3 linked regions of the Drosophila melanogaster genome follow. Changing the gene in region 1 together with any one later gene gives a genetic interaction. Each region holds a gene or a part of one and is shown in the gene's direction. Other genes may lie near its edges.

Region 1 (7,650 bases):
ACCTGTTGAGTACTCTATAGTACAGTCGGTTGTGTAGTTATTTGATATGTCTAGCTGCGGCAACTCAATCTCCGTGTTAACCACAAGTGGGTCGGTCATGTTCCAAATGAAAACCAAATCTTCCACCGTATGGGATACTGCCAATCAAAACTCGGTTCAACACAGATTATTTGTAATTCGAGAAGCGGAATGGAAAGTTCCAAGCGATACGGGATTTGCAGGGTGTAGATAACCATTACATTTCCACCTACAACTCTCGATCATCATGGAGCAGATTTGCGTGTCATGCGGATAGGACTCAAACTTCATGGCGCACGACAGGACCAACGTGAGTTTGGACATATAGAGCAGCGTTTTGTCGTGGTACAGCCAGAGATAGTGATTGGGAATGCTCATCTCATGGAAGGTGACCTTTTTGGCGTTCTTAAAGAAGCAATCGGGCCGCCAAATGCTGTGCAACCAGTCGACATCCAATATGCGATACTGCTCACTCATGTTCTCAGGCAACCGCAGGCGAGGATCACGCCAGCTTTGTGCAAGGAAGATGTCCGTCACATAGGTCTAAAGGAGCATGATAAGCCAATTAGTGTTTGCTGAGTGATGAGTATTGAAAAGATGAACACATTCTACTGACCATAGACTCCTCGTTAATGGAGTCCAGGGAGAGGACCGTGACATGGAAGTAGACTACTGTGGGCTGGCCGAGGAGCTTGGGAGCCCGGTTCTTGTCGTACGTCTTTGAGGGAATGGGCAAAATGTCCGGGAGCGAAAGACTCGACTCGTAGTGGGAGACCAGCTCGGCGCTCTCCGTGTTATTTCTGCATATGTGGAACAGAACAGCCCTGTGGCGTAAATCTGATGAAACTGGGCAAACGCACTCGGACTCACCTGTAACCATGAACACAATGGCAGTGCTGGATCGATTGCTCCAGCGCGTGCAAATATATTGCCAACGCAATCAGGCACCTGAATTCTACCAATTTGCTAGTTGGGCTTTGCATTATGAACACACTACCTTCGGCTTTGATATTGTTCCTCTGGCACTCATTGCTCCGCAGTCCATGTCAATTCCCAAAGTAGCTCATCTCTGGGTGCGCTTGAGAATGAACTTGCTCGGAGGATTAGTAAGCGAGGAATTATATTTTACTCGTCGCGCAGCAAAAACCAATAAAGAAACGGCAGAGTTATCGCGACGATTGTGATGTGCTGCAAAGTGTGATAAATTGATTTCTAAGGTTTCATTCGCTTTCATTGGCATTCGCCCACACTACACTACTTTTCAAATTGACAACTGACCCCGGTTAGCGAAATGGCAAAGAGGAAATGATGTTCGCACCCACTGACAAGGGCATTAATTTAAATGTCCACTCTGTATTTGCGAATAATATCTGTGAAATATGAAAAACCGTTTGACTGCGCGAAACAAGCGAACTGGGCGCCAACTGTCGATGTCAAAAATGGGTTTATCGGCATGTTCCGGCATTTGCTTTCGAAGTACGTTTTCACAAACTGTTCTGGGTTTGCTCTTAACTTTAAATCCCAATTTTCTTGAAATGCAAATACGTGCTCTACAATATTTTAAATAAAAGCCGAATACAAACTTGTCTTAAAATTGAATTAACTCTTCAGGAACATTTTACATAATGTGTTAAATAATTGTTGAATTTTAAAATTTACAAAAATATTATTTGAAAACCGGAACTTCCCGTTGCTGTAACAGGCCGCGTTGCCAACCTCTTCTCTTATCTGGCAGCTCTGGCGCGCAATCAGCTGTTCGCGGAACTGGCAACTCTATGAGGTCAAAATATTGATTGTTTCACTTGCCAAGACGTTTTTTTTTGGCAATTCTAAAATGTACAAGTGGCGATAAATCTGCACATAAAACTCTTAAAGCAAGCGTAAAAGGAAACGTAAACCACCCAGATCGACAGTAACATGGAATCCTGCGATACAATCGCAGGTGAGTGACAGAAGCAGCGGTGTGTGAATTTAATCCCGGTGCGATTTTCAAGGGGGTGCTGGGTCAGGGGTCATTTTCCTTTGTGCACTGGCGCGATTTGCTGCGGCGCATTGTGCAACTTGTGGATATTGATTAATAGCAAGAACGCCGAGATACACAAATAATGGTTTACCGACTTTTACAATTTTCCGTAGGTTAATAGACGAAAATCACTGCGTAGATAACTCTTGACAAGTGCGAAAATCGAAACGACCATGGAATCACCTCTGTTGCCCAAGGCCAACAACAATTTGGGCATGGACAAGATGAGCTCCAGCTTGAACAGCAGCACCATGGAGGACACCACGCCCAGCGATTCGGGAGTACAACTCCTGGACTCGGAAAACAGCGATGTGATGGTGGAGTCCATTTGCTCCTACGAGGAAAACGTTAGACCGATGCCCCTCCCTTTGGTGGATCCCAACTCCAATGTGACTGCAGCGCCGGATGAGTCTATGACCATTAGCGAGTGCTCTACGTTCGACACCACGGAGAAGATTGTATACCGTCGCAAAGTGCACAAAGCTTCGTCCGCCTCCAAAACTCCCAAAAAGCGAGTGTCCTTCCACGAGGACATACTGAAGAACACTCGTACCGACAACATTCACATTGAGCATGGCTTTATCACCTACAAGAACGGACGCAAGTTGGCCTTCGCTAACTCAGCGGGCGTGGCCGGCGCTCCAGGACGATATTCCTGGTGTCCGGATCGGGAACGTCCGGAGGGACCTAATGAACTCAGTGCCGCTGGCAGGGAAGACGATGGCGAGGAGGCTACCGGTGGCGGAGGTGCCAGGCGAAAGAGACATCTGGTCTACCGAAATGCCTGCTCGGATGTGCTGGACTACGACAACATTTTTGACACGGACGAGGCGCCCGGTCTGCACTATGACACCTCAGGTGTCTTTGAGTACGGCCCTGCGACCCAAAAACAGGAAGAGCAACCCCAACTTTACAAGTGCGTGTGCAGCAGTTCCAACTCCAGTTTGGATTCCGACGAACAAGACAAAAATTCCAATGCGAATTGTAAGCAGTACGAGCAGGCTAAGAGCAGCTCATGTGATTGCATTGGTATGAGCAATGCTAACAACAATCTAATCGGTAAGCTATATAACATTCTGCTTAAATCCTTGTGATGTATATCCACATTAATCTTTATCCCACAATTAGGTGACAATTGCTACTATTCAGAGCCCAATATCGGAGATGCTGACAGTCCCAAAGTCAAGTCCGTATGGAATAAGGAGAAGAAGCCGAAATCAAGCTGCTTAAAGAAAACTAAGCTACATACAAATGTCATACTCGAGCAGGATCTCAATGGGCGGGTAAAAAAGTTTAACGTGCACGACATTAAGCACCAACTGCTCGACAACAGTAGCAAGATGATATTTGGATCGCTAAAGAGCATCTTTACCATGCCATTGCCGGAGCGCGGAGTTCCCGAGGGCTCCGAAGACCTGCAGGCGGTGGTGGAATGCGTCCCTGAGCTGGAACAGACACCAGAGCACAAATCGCGGCCGGCGGCCGAGTCACCGCCTCTTAGAGCTAAGCCATTCCTCAGCAAGAGTCTCGACGGCAGCAAGCAGGCACAACCAGTTAAGAAATTCGTGCACAACGTTGATGAGCAATTGCGGCATAAGAACGAAGACGATGGTGCCAGCTCCACGGAAGCCTCGCCGATGGAGTCAAAACAGTCACTGATGTTGCATCGCCAAGAGGAATTCGATAAGGAAACAGTGCCAATGGGCAGCGCACAGGGCGAGTTCCGCAGCAAGTTTATAATTAATTGTGAGAGCACTGTTTTCGAACACACCGGAGTATCCTACGAGACGGGGGATCTGCAATCCGAACTCTCATCCGGTATTCAGCACACCAGTGTAGCCAGTCTGCTCGAGCAAAACACTCCCATCGCAGAGCCGGCCGCTAGTCAAATTAAGAAATCATTTTTGGATGCTCCCATTGCCAAGACGTTTAGTAATTTCTTTCGAAGCTTCAAAGACAGCACACCAGTTGCAAAGGACGAGCAAGCAGTCACAGATAACTATTTTGGTGAGCAAATAATATTCATTTGAATTAATATTTTCCCCGATGACTAACACTGTTCATTATGCTTATATAGCTTCAAAAATCGCTAAGCCGCAGCAACAAGCACCAGCCGCGGGCAAACTTCAGCGCAACTTTTCCTCATCAACCATATCCGAACCTAGTTCGAACACCAACACCAGCAGCAACCATCAAATCGCAATGAATCCGCAGCTGGGCAACGCGGAGCGTCAGTCTCGACACCTTCCTTCACCGCTCAAGAAGCGTGGACAACCCTTACAGCCGCCCCGTTACTACGACCAACAGCATCCTCACCAAAGTCGGAGCCTCCACAGCCCCAGTGCCTACCTAGCCGCTGGACGCGGAGGACCAGGAGGTAGTGGTCGCGACTCAAAGAGCACTATTCTCAGCGAAGAGTTTGACGACATACTAACTATAACCACTACAGATACAACTAATGCGCGCTCAATGGACAGCGATTTGGTCATCGTAGACTACACAGATGTGGACTATGCTCACTTACTGAAGCCGCCAGCTCCGGCGGCCAAAACTTCACTTATAAATAGGTTCCTTCGTAATGTCACACAGAAGAAAATAATGGAAACCTCCATACGCAAGAACAATTTCTTTGCCGATAAATTGAGAACCGAACAGAGGCATGCCGGATCCGATCTGTATGTGAAGGGTGCTCGGCCAAAGAACTACGAGCTTATAGATGACTTAAATGCAGAGATTGCCATGGAGATTGAGATGTGTGGCACGAATTCGCCGCGACGGGAACTTGCCATTAGTTTGGATAACGATTTCCAAGGCAACTTGTCCAATTTCGAACTTGGCATTGGGGAGATCTCAATTGATGTATTCAAAGGAAAGTCCTTGTTCAATCTGAAACAATCAAATGAGCAGCTAATGAAGGTAGATTGTAATTGTGTAGCAAATAGCAATCAATTATAAAAACTTATCATTTCAGGCTTTCAAACTGTATACAGGCTACAATGTAGATGGCATCATGACACCTGTACTTGTCCTACTCACTGATAAAACTCTGTATGTGGTGAATATGGAAGGAAATAGTCTGTGTGTCAAGTTTGTTTTGGCCTACAAGGACTTGGATGTCATACTGGTAAATGTTAACGGATGACATTGCTGTGATATATTAGTTAATGCAACATCATTTTTTAGATGGGACCTTTTGGCAACACAGTTTTGCTCAGCAACAGTAATCGAGACATGCAGCAGGTCCTGCTCGCGGGTGGTCCGTATCCAGCCGGATCCCTGGTAGCCAACCTGGAGTTGTGTGCCCGACGCAGTGGATCCACTCTGCCTGCAGTTGGTCAGCTGACTCTAGAACATTTGGCTCCACTGCAGGCTTTTGTGCGTGCCAACAGCTGTGTTGGCGTAGCAGAACATTGGATGCTCTATGCAGTGGTTAATGTGCCAGCTGGAGGGTCAATGAGAGTCGAATCGCCAAGCGAACTGCTGGGACCTTCAATGAAGGGATTCCTCATGCATCGAAGACTTAGGCAGACGATCAGCACTTCAGCAGCGAACAGAATATTTTGGCAACCAGGATACTTTTTACTGAAGTTCGTAACTCTCGATATTTGAAGGAATTCAATTTAATATGTGTTCATTTCTTAGAGCTGGCGTATTGTATATGTTCAACGATTCCACCCAAAGGCTTCCCAGCTGGGCCATGGCCCTCGCCGAGTGTCAGGGCGCCCGGCGAACTGTGAAATCAGAGCGCCCCCACTGCTTCGAGATTACGCTAAAGGGCGAAGTCCTGCAAATGGCTGCGCCCGACGAGTATGTAGCCTCCGAGTGGCTCCAGGCTCTTTTGCAATCAGCCAGTGGCGTAAGTAGACAATTAATATTAGAAGATTTGTTTTAACTTTTTGTTGTGTTTAGCTTGTGGTTCAAGAGGAGAAGCACAAAACCCTTGGATGCACGTTGATCGTCACGGATAACCATTTAATAACCCTGCGTGAAGACTTTTCGGCTCCTCTACGAAAAATAAGCCAGCAGGCGGATAACAATGCAGCCGTTCAGGGAAATAAAGAAACCATGCTTGAGGAGGATATGCTCAGTGTTTTTGAAACCAGTAGCTTAGTAAGTGCGCTTATTGTATTAGCAAATCAAACTTCGTAATCATTTGGACTTAAAATTTTAGATGGGTTCCACCATTAGTACTCCTACCCGTGGCACTCAACATTCATATTCCTCGTTAAGCTCTACGCCTACTAAGCAAACAAACGAAGATGCAGCTCCGAAAGAAACTGTAGCTTCGCCGGAAAAATCACAAAGAATGACCAGTGTTTACGGAAAGAACTCCGGTTTAGCCATACTAACTTGTGCGGACATCAAAGAGATGACTGGCATTAAGATAACCTCGCGGAGCGAGACTTGGTGGTGCATTCTGGAGTTCTCCTGCCAGGAGGCACCATTGGAAAACCAGGACGATTTGGTTATATTCTTTGCCAGCAGCATGGAAATGCAACGTTTCCTGCGGTTGCTAGAGCAGCTTTGGCAGTCTAAGAATGTATGTTTCTCGTTGACTACTAAACCTTTCCTTAGCAATAACGAAATATTCTAATTTTACAGAACGATCTATTTCCAATAACCATACTAGACGACGGTGACTCTCTGGCCGAGCAATATAATAAACTTTATATGGACACAAATAGGGCCTGGGAGCCTTTGCTATCAGCTGCGCTGGGTTAACGTGGCTCTGGCCATATATACTCCATTTACAAATAGAAAATTATATTTCCATATACATTACTCAAGCGTTAAATATTCTATCCTGAATACTCAAATAGCTAAAGAACAAAAAGTATTGATATTTATATAGTCTGTATGTATTATGTATTATGATTTTGTAATGCGTGCCTCCGCTTGACTCATTCATTCGTTTGCGCTTAGTAACATCTCATTTGAATAATTTTTGTGATATTAAACTTAAAGTCGCTGATCTTTGGTATGCTCTTTTGTAGGATATTTAGTTTCTATTGATTTTCTACATTCGTTATTTCTTACCTTTTATAAATACATTGTGTACAAATATTGCACAGATAATAAGAAACAAAATATTATACATAATCTAACTTATACGAATATTGGACATGTAATCAATCGGTAATGTTATGTTTTGGGGGTGCTCTTTTGGTCCAAGGATCATATCCATATGATATACGACAAACAATATGTGGCTATTTATAAAATAAACAAAACAAACATTTATAAATGTGTATTAGGAAAAGTGTGCATGGTGGACTTAATCTTATTTTGCAATGCTGTGCCTCTCCTTTTCAATTAGCATAGATTAAATTCCCCTCCCAACGCCCGACATTTCGCTGTAAGCCTTTCAGCCCACTAAAAGCTCATGATAATTAATAAAACCAATAAACGCCATTACAAAACGAATTTTTATTTATTCTGAGCTCGCTGATGGTCCTTGACATTTTCAATAATTGCAAGTGGTGAAAGGGTTTACAGAGGAAAGGGTTTTCTGGGCTCTAAGTCGGGTTTATGCTGTGTGGGACCCTATATTCCGAATGAGTGTGGGGGAGATGGAGTGGGGGTCTGGAGAGGATGCTGAATAAGGAAAC
Region 2 (4,931 bases), 1.7 Mb from region 1:
GCACTACTTTAAAACTTTTAATATGTACATACCCGACCAGAAGTACAAAGACACGATGCTAACTCAAGCCACGCAGCCCCTTCTGCGGGTTAAATCGAGCTCGGAGGGTAATCCGTAAATAAATCATTCTTGTTCTTTGTTTTAAACCTACGCTCTATTGTATGAAATCAAACAATGGCATTGGGCGGACAGTAGTATATGTTCAGGGACTTGTCCTCAGAAGCAGAGGCCACCTTGTCGTTTCCGGGGCTATATCGGACGCCCCACACCTGATCTGTGTGCTCGGCGAACGTGTGCAGGCACTTGCGTTCCGAGGTGTCCCATATTTTCACGCTGTTATCACTGGAGGAGCTGGCAAAGTGTTTGCCGTCCTCGGAGAATGCCACGCACAGCACCCAAGATGCGTGCCCAGATAGGGTGCCCACAACGTCGGAGTGGGTTCTAAAACGAGGAGATAGTAGTGCCTGAAAATGTCATAGGTGTTAAGCCACTTACACATCATAAAGCTTCATGTGACCATCATCTGAGGCAGTGAGCAGCAGCTGCGAGTTCGGAGAAAAGCAAAGGCTACGCACTGGCATCGCGTGTCCTTCCAATGTTTGCACTACCTTGCCCGCGGCCACATCGAAAATGGTAATGATACCATCGATGGCTCCACTGGCAATGTACTTGCCATCGGGACTCTAGAATAATACAGCTATAGGATTCTCAAAATGGGTTATTTACCAGATAAAGCTTACGTAGGCAATGCTAAGCGTGTATTTCCCATTTTGGGCATCCAATGTCTGCTCTGCCTTTCCGGTTTCCACACTGTACATGGAGATTTTGCCGTCGTTCAGTCCGGATATCACATATTTGTTGCAGGGTGAAAATTGCACCGTCCAGAGATCAACAGGCCCAAAGCTAAGTAGGTGTTTCTTGTCGCCCGAACGGGCATCCCACAAACACATGGTGGAGTCCAGAGAACTACTGGCAATGGCTGGAAGGAAGGCGGCACCATTAATTGATGTCCATTTCTCTATCTCCCAAGTACAGAATCTTTCAACCTACTCTGTCCATCGGAACTGACGGCCACAGAAACAACTCCCAGGGCATGTCCTTTTAGTTTGTGGCGCAACTTTAGGGTGTTGTCCTCCTGCAAGTCCCACACCTTTACCAAGTCATCCAGTCCGCCGGTGACCAAGAAATCCTTCGGGCGGGCCTCCTTCTTATCGAAATCAAAGGGATTCTCCTCGGGCTCCACGACCGCGTCATCCGGATCTGAGGCCGCAGTGTCGCGTCCCCAGGTGCACGCCCATAGCTGACTGTCGTGCGCATTTTCCTCTTTATGAAGGACAGAAAACTAGCGGAAAAAAGGGATGTATAAAAGGCACAGTTCGTTAAATATCTACTTACCATTTTAAAATGCCGGAAAAGTGTTTATTTTATGCGAACGAGAGCGATCAGCAAATTAGCTGTTATCGATAACAATGGTTGACGTTAGAATTAGTATTGAAAAGGGAGGTTTACAGTGGGTCAAAACTGTTATGCTGAATATGTTTCAATGTGAATAAATTAAACATGGAATTCTTTATATAAATGAAAGAAATAAAGAAGTATAAAACAAATTGACGTTTTTAAAATTTTTTCACAGGTAATATTATATATAACAAAATAATATTTTACTTTATTATATCTTTATTATACTTATTTAGGTAAAAAGCTTAGTTTTTAAGTAAACATGTTATATATTAAATTATTTGAATTGCTATTTATTGTTTTGGTATATTTGCCCATATGGCACACGGCATAATACCACTTTCCCGCCATGGTCACACCATCGGCTTATAGTTGCACTCCCGGCGCGGCCACACTGTTTATAGCCGTCGAGAACCGAGGAACGAACGTCGCGTTTTAAAAAACAAATCCCCAAACGACTCGGACGCGAGATCCAAGCGACTGGCGAGGAAAAGTGTAAGTGACGGGTGCAATTACGTGCCCCACGGTGCAGCCATGCCCGGATCTACCAGTGCGGTTATATAATGCGGATATAGTTATAGTTCTTAGCCCCTCGCGATACGATATCAAAAACAAAGGAACGAATAGGACCAACGCGTGTGTTCTGCTTTTCAGTTTTCGGTTCGTTTTCGATTTTTTTTCATTTTGCTGTCGTCGCCGCCGTGAATTCGAATATGTATGATTTTCTTCTATGGATCCGCGTGTCTGGAATATATTAATAAACATAAACAGTGAAGCCTCGTTCGTTCGTGTGTGTGGGGGCGGGTGTGCGTGAGCGTGAGTGCGAGTGTGTGTGTGGTTGTGCATCAGCATATTATTTATCTCACATATCATATCTTTCGACAAAATCGAAAAGATTCGAATGATTCATTCTTGTGGCAGCAGGACTCGCCGATTTGTGCACTAAACCGAAATGAAAGGCATATAGTTTTGCTGCACTTTCCATGTGTTTTTCGTGGTGTGTTTGTTTTATTGATTCCCACTTTCCCGTTCCCCGTTCTCCGTTTTCCGCCCAGTTTCCACTTCTTCCCCTCCGTACAACATTCATATTCGCGCCTGCCCCCACAACTTCGTTTCCGATTTGGTGTAAACAATAACGGCAACCGGTTTTCGCGTGCAACTTTATCTCCCTAATATCGCCATTCCTCTTATTCTTCTTCTCTTCCTCTGCTCACTTTTGTTTCGATTATAATCGCAATTTGCCGTTTTCAAAATGATATATGCAAACCCTTTCGAATAAATCAAACAGTTCCAACTGAATTTGTAAATTATCAAGGTGAGTCGCCAGCCGGGGATCAATAATGCTATATTATAAGATGAAGTGGAAGATTTGCATGTTTATGTAATCTTATCGGTATTTTATGTTAATTTTCTCACACATGTTGGGATTCATATATCTTAAGAGAGGTGTATTCATTTCATAAAACATTCTTTACTTGAGATTTGGTATATGAAAGTTAGTTATTCGTTTATTTTAACAATACTACAGGCAAACGATGTCTTCTAGGGTATGAAATGGTCCTATAGAAAGAAAGGTAGTTAGGTAGTAGTAGTGACGCTTAAAGATCCGTAAAGTTAAATGACTCTAAATCCCACAGCTTTGCTCCACTTCCATTCGTAATTCCAAAGCAAACCCATCACGGTTGCTCTTAGCCTTCGCACTAATGTGACTGGAGGATAAGAATAAATGTTTGCCCTTAAGAGGTGCTCAAAAGGCGTCAAAAAAAAAAAAAATAATAATAAGAATGGAAAAACTAGACCATAAACATAAATGCATTTCACAGCTGCCATTAGTGCACAACTTTTCACAATCGGCGAGAAAAACCAGCGCAAAAACCAAGTACGACAAAATGGAAATCCAGGGCATGCAAAAAGAAAATGAAACAGTGGCAAACTGCGGAAAAAGCCAAAGCCCAGGCGCAATGCACTCGGAAAATGGATGGAAAACCAACAAAGTTATTAGTTGAGGTGGGAATACCGCGGTTCCAAGATCGCGGGGAAATGCGAAGTCAAGTGTGGAAAAGCGCTCGCTGGGAAAAGCGTGACATAGTCAAAAGCAATGGGGGCGAAATTGGAGCAATTTGAGTCTGTGCAATGTGACATCATTGTAAGGGGCGTGACGGAGGGCGTGGCAGCAGCCGACAATGACAAGTGCCGAAGTTTTCCAAAAACAAAAGAAAGTCAAACAAGAAAGCAGGGAACATTATTGTCAAGTAAGCGAAAAGATTTGACATATTAGCCATGACATTATTTTAAAGAAATTCAGTAAATTACATGAAATATCTATCAAAGTAGATAATCAAATGATTGTTTTGAGATTATATACAGTGCTTAGTACATGAAGATAAAATAAGAATAAAATGATATATAGTGCTATTTGTAAACCCATTGTACGGGTTGAACTCTATGGAAATTACCAAGAGAGTCGCAATCACGAACATCCTCTGATAAGAATATAGCTGGAATAATCGCCATTCGTTGAACCCCCCAGTCACAAGAGCAATATATAGGAGCATTGACTTTTAAGATCGCGTTCTGATGTCGGTGCAATTTTCTTTACACCAATCAAGGCAGCCCAGAAAATGAAAATGTGATGGCGTCAAGTCATGACATTGCACTGGCAAAAGCACAAGAACAATGGGAAAGTACTCACCATTTGGATTCCAGTGGAAGAGCCAAACTTTTTGCTTGACTGAATAAATATTTCTGGTCCGATCTTTGGCATGGCCAAAAGTGTATTTAAATCCAGAGATAAGATAATAGGTGGAGCATTGCTATTTATAATAATCAACGCTGGGCTCTTTTATCACTTTCGAAGGTTGGAATGTTATTTTAAGCCTCAGCCTCGAGAAAAACACCTAATTTGGGCCCTAATTGGGGCCTCGTTTTTGTTGTTTTTTTTTTTCCCCCTTTTACTAAATATGTGGGATCAGAAAAATATAAATAATATGTATCTGTGTGCTAAATTTATTTAAATATTCTGCAATTAGCCAATCTATCATGAACTTAAAGTAAGGAATAGTTCCAATTAGAAAGTATAGATTACTTTCACATATTTTAACTGCTGTCACTCCTGTAAAACACTCCCATTTTTGTGCCCCCTTAAACCTTTGACTTTTGTTTGTGGAATGCCATAAAGTGCACTCTTTATGACCGCAATGCGTTTGCAACTGCAAGTGGAAGGCAGGGTCTTCGGTTCCTCATTTTGAGAAGCACTTGAAAAGCCATTAAACATTGCTCCAAACCCGACTCGAGTAGAATCCCCGTATCTGCCTTTCTTCCCCCAATTAACCCATAAATGGGAAATTGATATCGTTCAATGTTTTGCGTTGTGACAGTGATAAAATATCAGCCGAATTAGATAAACTTACGGTCAAGGACAAGTATCTTTTACACTCGTACTTCTATGTATTTGAAGTTTTTTCTTCAAGTTG
Region 3 (4,672 bases), on another chromosome or scaffold:
CTTGGGCTATTATGCTTACTGAAAAATTTAAATTCATAGCCCAATGCGAAATGGTTTGTCGTGTATGCAAAGTAATCCATCAATAAAGTCGCTAAGAGAAGAAATAAAATGTCCCGGACAGTTTCGTAGGAATTCATCTTGAAGGGCGAAATGTAGAATATTAGGCCACCGGAAATCGTAATCACAAACAGGGCTGACGACAAGTTATTGGCAAACACAGGGACATGTCGTTCAACGCTGGCCAAGTTGGCGAAAAAATCGGCAGAAGTGTTTCCAAATGCCATCAGGGTAACTCCCGCCAAATGCTCGTTCATATGAAGGAATCGGGATACGGCCTTCAGAGCAGGACTATAGCTGCAAAAGCAAGCATTTCAAGCTCAATTTTAATCTTCGCTTTAGTTAGCTACTTACTAAACATTGATTGTGTAAATTAGTAGAACCAATATCTGAAAGCAAAACGCCACGAACAAGGCGATGAAGATCATTTCCTGGAACTGATTGATACACTTCAGATCGCAGGCCAAGAGTCTCATGTATGGAATTACATTTGTGCTCGAATTGCAGTCCTCCGCTTTCTGTACGAACTCACATCGCTCCTCGAACGGAAAGTTGTTGGCCGCAAAACAGCTAACCGTTTTCCAAAAATTGTCGAATTCCGCATCCAACGCGTTTTTCACGGTAAAAACATCGGATTTGGTTGTTTTTGTGTCGATGGCCGGCATTTTAGTTTTACTTGTTTGTAGTCCGAAATCTTGGCGTTGAATTGGGTAAAAGTGAAACTAGTTCTGGGATTACTTTGATTTCCTAAGAGCTATCAGAAAAAACTAATTCAACAATTAATTCCGGCTACAATCGCTGTTTTCGATGATAATACTTGTATTTTTTTTTTTGCACTTTAAACCACTTGTTAAGCTTGTAAACTTCATAATTAAAAAAAAGTTAAATGTAATGATGAAAGATTCCCCACAGATGAGGACGTCCAGCTTCCAGCACATTCTTTTACCAAGCCCCATTCTTTAACATTTCCCTACCAAAGCCAAAACCTCCAACTTTTTACTGCCCTCCCAGCCTCGCCGTCAGATTTCAATGTCAATGTAATTACGCCGTAGAATATATACATAGTATACAAATACCTACTACCGATTACCGACTACCGCGTAACATAAAAAGCCAAAGCTTGTCCTGCGTCTCGGTGCGATGGGAAATCAATAAAAAGAATTCACTTTACGTCATCAGCTGGTGGATAAAGCCGTCGCTATAGCCACTGTGCCGGCAGCGATATGTGAAATGGCTCATAATAAGATCAAACATCGGGGAAAATTGGGGGTCTGCCACAGTGGCCGTCCGAAAAAGTGGACACCTTGCGCTAATAATGAAATTCCTTGTGCCCGCGGATGACAGACGGTCGTTTTGTTATTGCGGACCTTTTACGCTATGTGTATGAAATTTATAAAAAAAAAAATTTTCGCATACCCATATATACCATACAGCCCACACGGTTGCTGTTCTTCCAGTTTTGTACCCCGATTGCGGCGCATGCGTCCTGCTGGTGGGCTGGTCGTCGTATCCTCTGAACTTTCCCAGAACTGCTCACTGTGTCGTCTACCCTTAACGGGTGCAGTTCGTTCTGGTCTCGAGAGTCGTGCGCGAATTTCATTTCCTAAGGCCTTCCGCTGACTGGCCATCGATTTTGTGCAGAAAAGCTCAGAGTTTTCATCAGCGAAAAGTTGCCCAACCGTTTAAACAAAGCGCAGCCAAGTAAAGCAACTAACAAGTTTCAAATTAAAACAATTCGATACAGTGGCAAACTAAAACTTTATCAATTATTTGTCCCCCAAAAAAAGGAGTGAAAATTTTTCGCTGTTATACAGAAAGACAGACCCCTACACATATATACACATATACGAGAGCCTACATATATATATAATATATATTCAAAAATCCTTTAGCCAAGTCAAGAAGAAGAAACTACGCGAATGTGCGCTTTTGGTTACCTATTGTTTTTCGCCCTATTGTTAACAACAATTCTGGTGCTGTCCATTATATTCGCCACTACCTCCAAGCGATCCATGTTGGATAGCTTTGTACTAGTATTCAATTACACACAAGAACACCAGCCAGACCAAGAAATGCAGCAACAACAACAACCAACGGACTATCAGCAACAACCACAAATGTTCCTAAAACAGAAAATATTTTGAGTTCCATGGGTTAATGAGTATAATGCCCCGAAAAATAATAAAACGAAACAGAAAATCAATTGGTAAATGCTTCAAAATATATTTGCAAAATTTCATCAATTCGCTCGACCGAACATTTCAAAATTCTCGATAAAACATAGCCCATAATTACGTTTTACATAATTTTGATTCGCTAATTTTTGCCCCCCCCCATCATCTAGTGTACAGTGGCCTCCAGAGTAGTGTGCATAGTGTGTGTAGAGTGTAGAGATTTCCTGGCTCGGTGTCCATGGCAAAGGCAACTTGAAAATTTATTAATAAAGGTCAAGAAGAACGCAAGCGAACGCAAGGATATTACCCACGAATGAGACGGGGCGCGCATATGAGTGTGGTGAGAGGTCCTGCATACGGTATTAAGTGCCCGCCGTGTTGCCCCGCAGGAAGCCATAAAAAATATGACGCAGAAGGCAACAAAAGCGTGGTATTGCAAAGGACCTCGAGTGCTTAGTTCGTTTCTCAAGTGCAAATGAGGGTTGACTGTGTGACGAATAAATTTTCAAGAGCCTGGCCAGGTAAAACGAGCTAAGGACGTTGAGAAGTGGACATTCTCGAAAAGGATATAGCCTGATTTTAATTTCTTATAGTCGTTCTTTTATCGTTTCGTGCGCCTTCAACCAGCGTCAGTCTGCATATCATACAAAAAATAAATAAAATACATTACACAAATATTTAGCATATCCTATCCCACTTTCGCTCCCACACTCTCTATATATACTCTCGCCTTTCTCTGTCTTCTCTCCACATTTCTCCTGTCTCGCGCTTCTGCGCAAATCTTCCTGTGGAGACTTTTTACTGCAGGCTGTTGCACATTTGCTTTGACAGTTTGTTCGGAAAATTGAAAGAACAAAAAAAAAACATAAACAAAAGTATTTTGGTCAGGTAAACAAAGAGAGAGAGAGAAAGGACAGGAAAGAGAGAGCAATTCTCACAGCTGCGCATTGGAATGGCTTCTAAACTTGGTTTCACAATATTTCAGGACGCTAGTGTACGCGAGTGAAAGAATTTCTCAGTTGGTCAAGTGAATTTACCACTAGAAAGTTAATAAATAAAGCAAAGAGTGACAAACGAAAAAAAAAACAAATTTTACCTTATCAAACATTAACTAAAAATCAAATCACACATAAGTGCAATCGATTCCTTACAACTTATGCTATAATGAGCTTTAAGGATATAGCCGCCCAATAAGCCAGCAATCGTTTGGCCTAAACTAAAGGTAATTTAATCTCCATAAATGGTAGTTATTTGTTTTAACAAAGTTAAGAAATATATTGAAAATACGCGTTATGCATCGCCTTTAAAGGGTCCTTTCTTTCTTTTGTGGGGTGTGAGTACTTTTCTTTATTCTGCCTCTTGTATTTGCTCGATGACTCATTCGACTATTGGCCGACACTCGTCTGCGCTTTTATTGGAAGCATTTGTGGATTGTGGAATTTTTCCCCCTGCTTCAAGTGTGTGAGTGTGTGTGCGTGTGTGTGAGTCAGAGGGTAAAAACTAGAGGGAAAACTATTTGCATTAAAATCCATTACGATAAGTGATAAAACTACTGAAAAACAAACCTAAAATCTAACAAAATTATAAAGAATTTTTAACTTTCTTTAACTGTATCACTTCTTATTAAAAAAAAAGAGGAGAAAGAGAACTCACCTAGAATGTTTCGAAAGCAATAAATCTTCAATCCTTAACGTCTATTGTTTTATAAGAAATTTGTATTATAAAATAGTTGGCAATGTACCCGGCTTAGTCTTCGACGTATTGCACATATAGGACAGCAAATAATAAATTCTTAGCCCCACCCCTGGCTTCAATTCAAATTTCCCTGGCGAGTTGCCGGGGGTATGACTCATAGCTTCGAGCTGCCACAGAAACAAATCGTGGACGAGTGTATAACCATAAAGTTGGGGCAATTATAAAATGTCAGTGCTGGGCAGTGGTAGTCTCTGGCCAATTTGCAGCCCACTCGAATGACTCGAATGTCTATAAAGTATTCCCGTTCCTCTATTTCCACTCCAGTTAACCGGAAACCAGGACACCCACAGAGAGGAAGAAGGACAAGATGTCGTCGGTTAAGGTGGCGGTGCGAGTGCGCCCCTTCAACTCGCGCGAAATAGCCAGGGAGTCGAAATGCATCATCGAGATGGCAGGAGCCACAACGGGTGAGAATCCCATAAACACTCTAGATTTCTCTTAATTAAATACTTCAATCTTATGTCCTGACAGCCATCACCAATCCAAAGGTGCCGCCCAACACAAGCGATTCAGTAAAGCGCTTCAACTTTGATTACTCCTACTGGTCACATGATGTAAGTTTTATTTCGAGTCCAAGAAAAAATTTTACTTAAATTTATATTCGCATCACAGCACCACGATGCCGATTTCTCCACACAATCGATGGTGTACAAGGACATTGGCGAGGAGATGTTACAGCACTCCTT

Evidence for each region.
Region 2: of prd1 (region 1) and Mical, changing one enhances a phenotype caused by changing the other (phenotypic enhancement), as found in Drosophila melanogaster (one study listed by BioGRID).
Region 3: of prd1 (region 1) and unc-104, changing one enhances a phenotype caused by changing the other (phenotypic enhancement), as found in Drosophila melanogaster (one study listed by BioGRID).

What each region holds. Positions count from the first base shown.
Region 1 is NT_033777.3:11,780,933-11,788,582, reverse strand, and holds prd1 (pruning defect 1), read left to right. Parts: upstream 1-1,568; 5' UTR 1,569-1,960; intron 1,961-2,154; 5' UTR 2,155-2,214; coding exon 2,215-3,100; intron 3,101-3,169; coding exon 3,170-4,048; intron 4,049-4,118; coding exon 4,119-4,957; intron 4,958-5,012; coding exon 5,013-5,165; intron 5,166-5,224; coding exon 5,225-5,628; intron 5,629-5,683; coding exon 5,684-5,897; intron 5,898-5,950; coding exon 5,951-6,151; intron 6,152-6,212; coding exon 6,213-6,581; intron 6,582-6,643; coding exon 6,644-6,763; 3' UTR 6,764-7,452; downstream 7,453-7,650. Other genes in the region: HisCl1 (Histamine-gated chloride channel subunit 1), read right to left, coding at 3-137, 252-561, 635-818, 889-1,001.
Region 2 is NT_033777.3:10,039,814-10,044,744, reverse strand, and holds the start of Mical (molecule interacting with CasL), read left to right. Parts: upstream 1-1,849; 5' UTR 1,850-1,953; intron 1,954-2,746; exon of another isoform or gene 2,747-2,773; intron 2,774-4,931. Other genes in the region: CG11722 (uncharacterized protein), read left to right, coding at 1-118; CG3909 (uncharacterized protein), read right to left, coding at 168-441, 496-683, 741-979, 1,051-1,342, 1,396-1,398. UniProt on the Drosophila melanogaster protein: Monooxygenase that promotes depolymerization of F-actin by mediating oxidation of specific methionine residues on actin.
Region 3 is NT_033778.4:16,762,919-16,767,590, reverse strand, and holds the start of unc-104 (uncoordinated-104), read left to right. Parts: upstream 1-1,590; 5' UTR 1,591-1,758; exon of another isoform or gene 1,759-1,976; coding exon of another isoform or gene 1,977-2,201; exon of another isoform or gene 2,202-2,230; intron 2,231-3,216; 5' UTR 3,217-3,453; intron 3,454-4,250; 5' UTR 4,251-4,293; coding exon 4,294-4,393; intron 4,394-4,457; coding exon 4,458-4,540; intron 4,541-4,598; coding exon 4,599-4,672. Other genes in the region: CG5348 (uncharacterized protein), read right to left, coding at 20-354, 412-722; CG42392 (uncharacterized protein), read left to right, coding at 1,977-2,201. UniProt on the Drosophila melanogaster protein: Required for presynaptic maturation, has a role in axonal transport of dense-core vesicles carrying synaptic vesicle precursors, components required for the morphological transformation of axonal growth cones to mature boutons.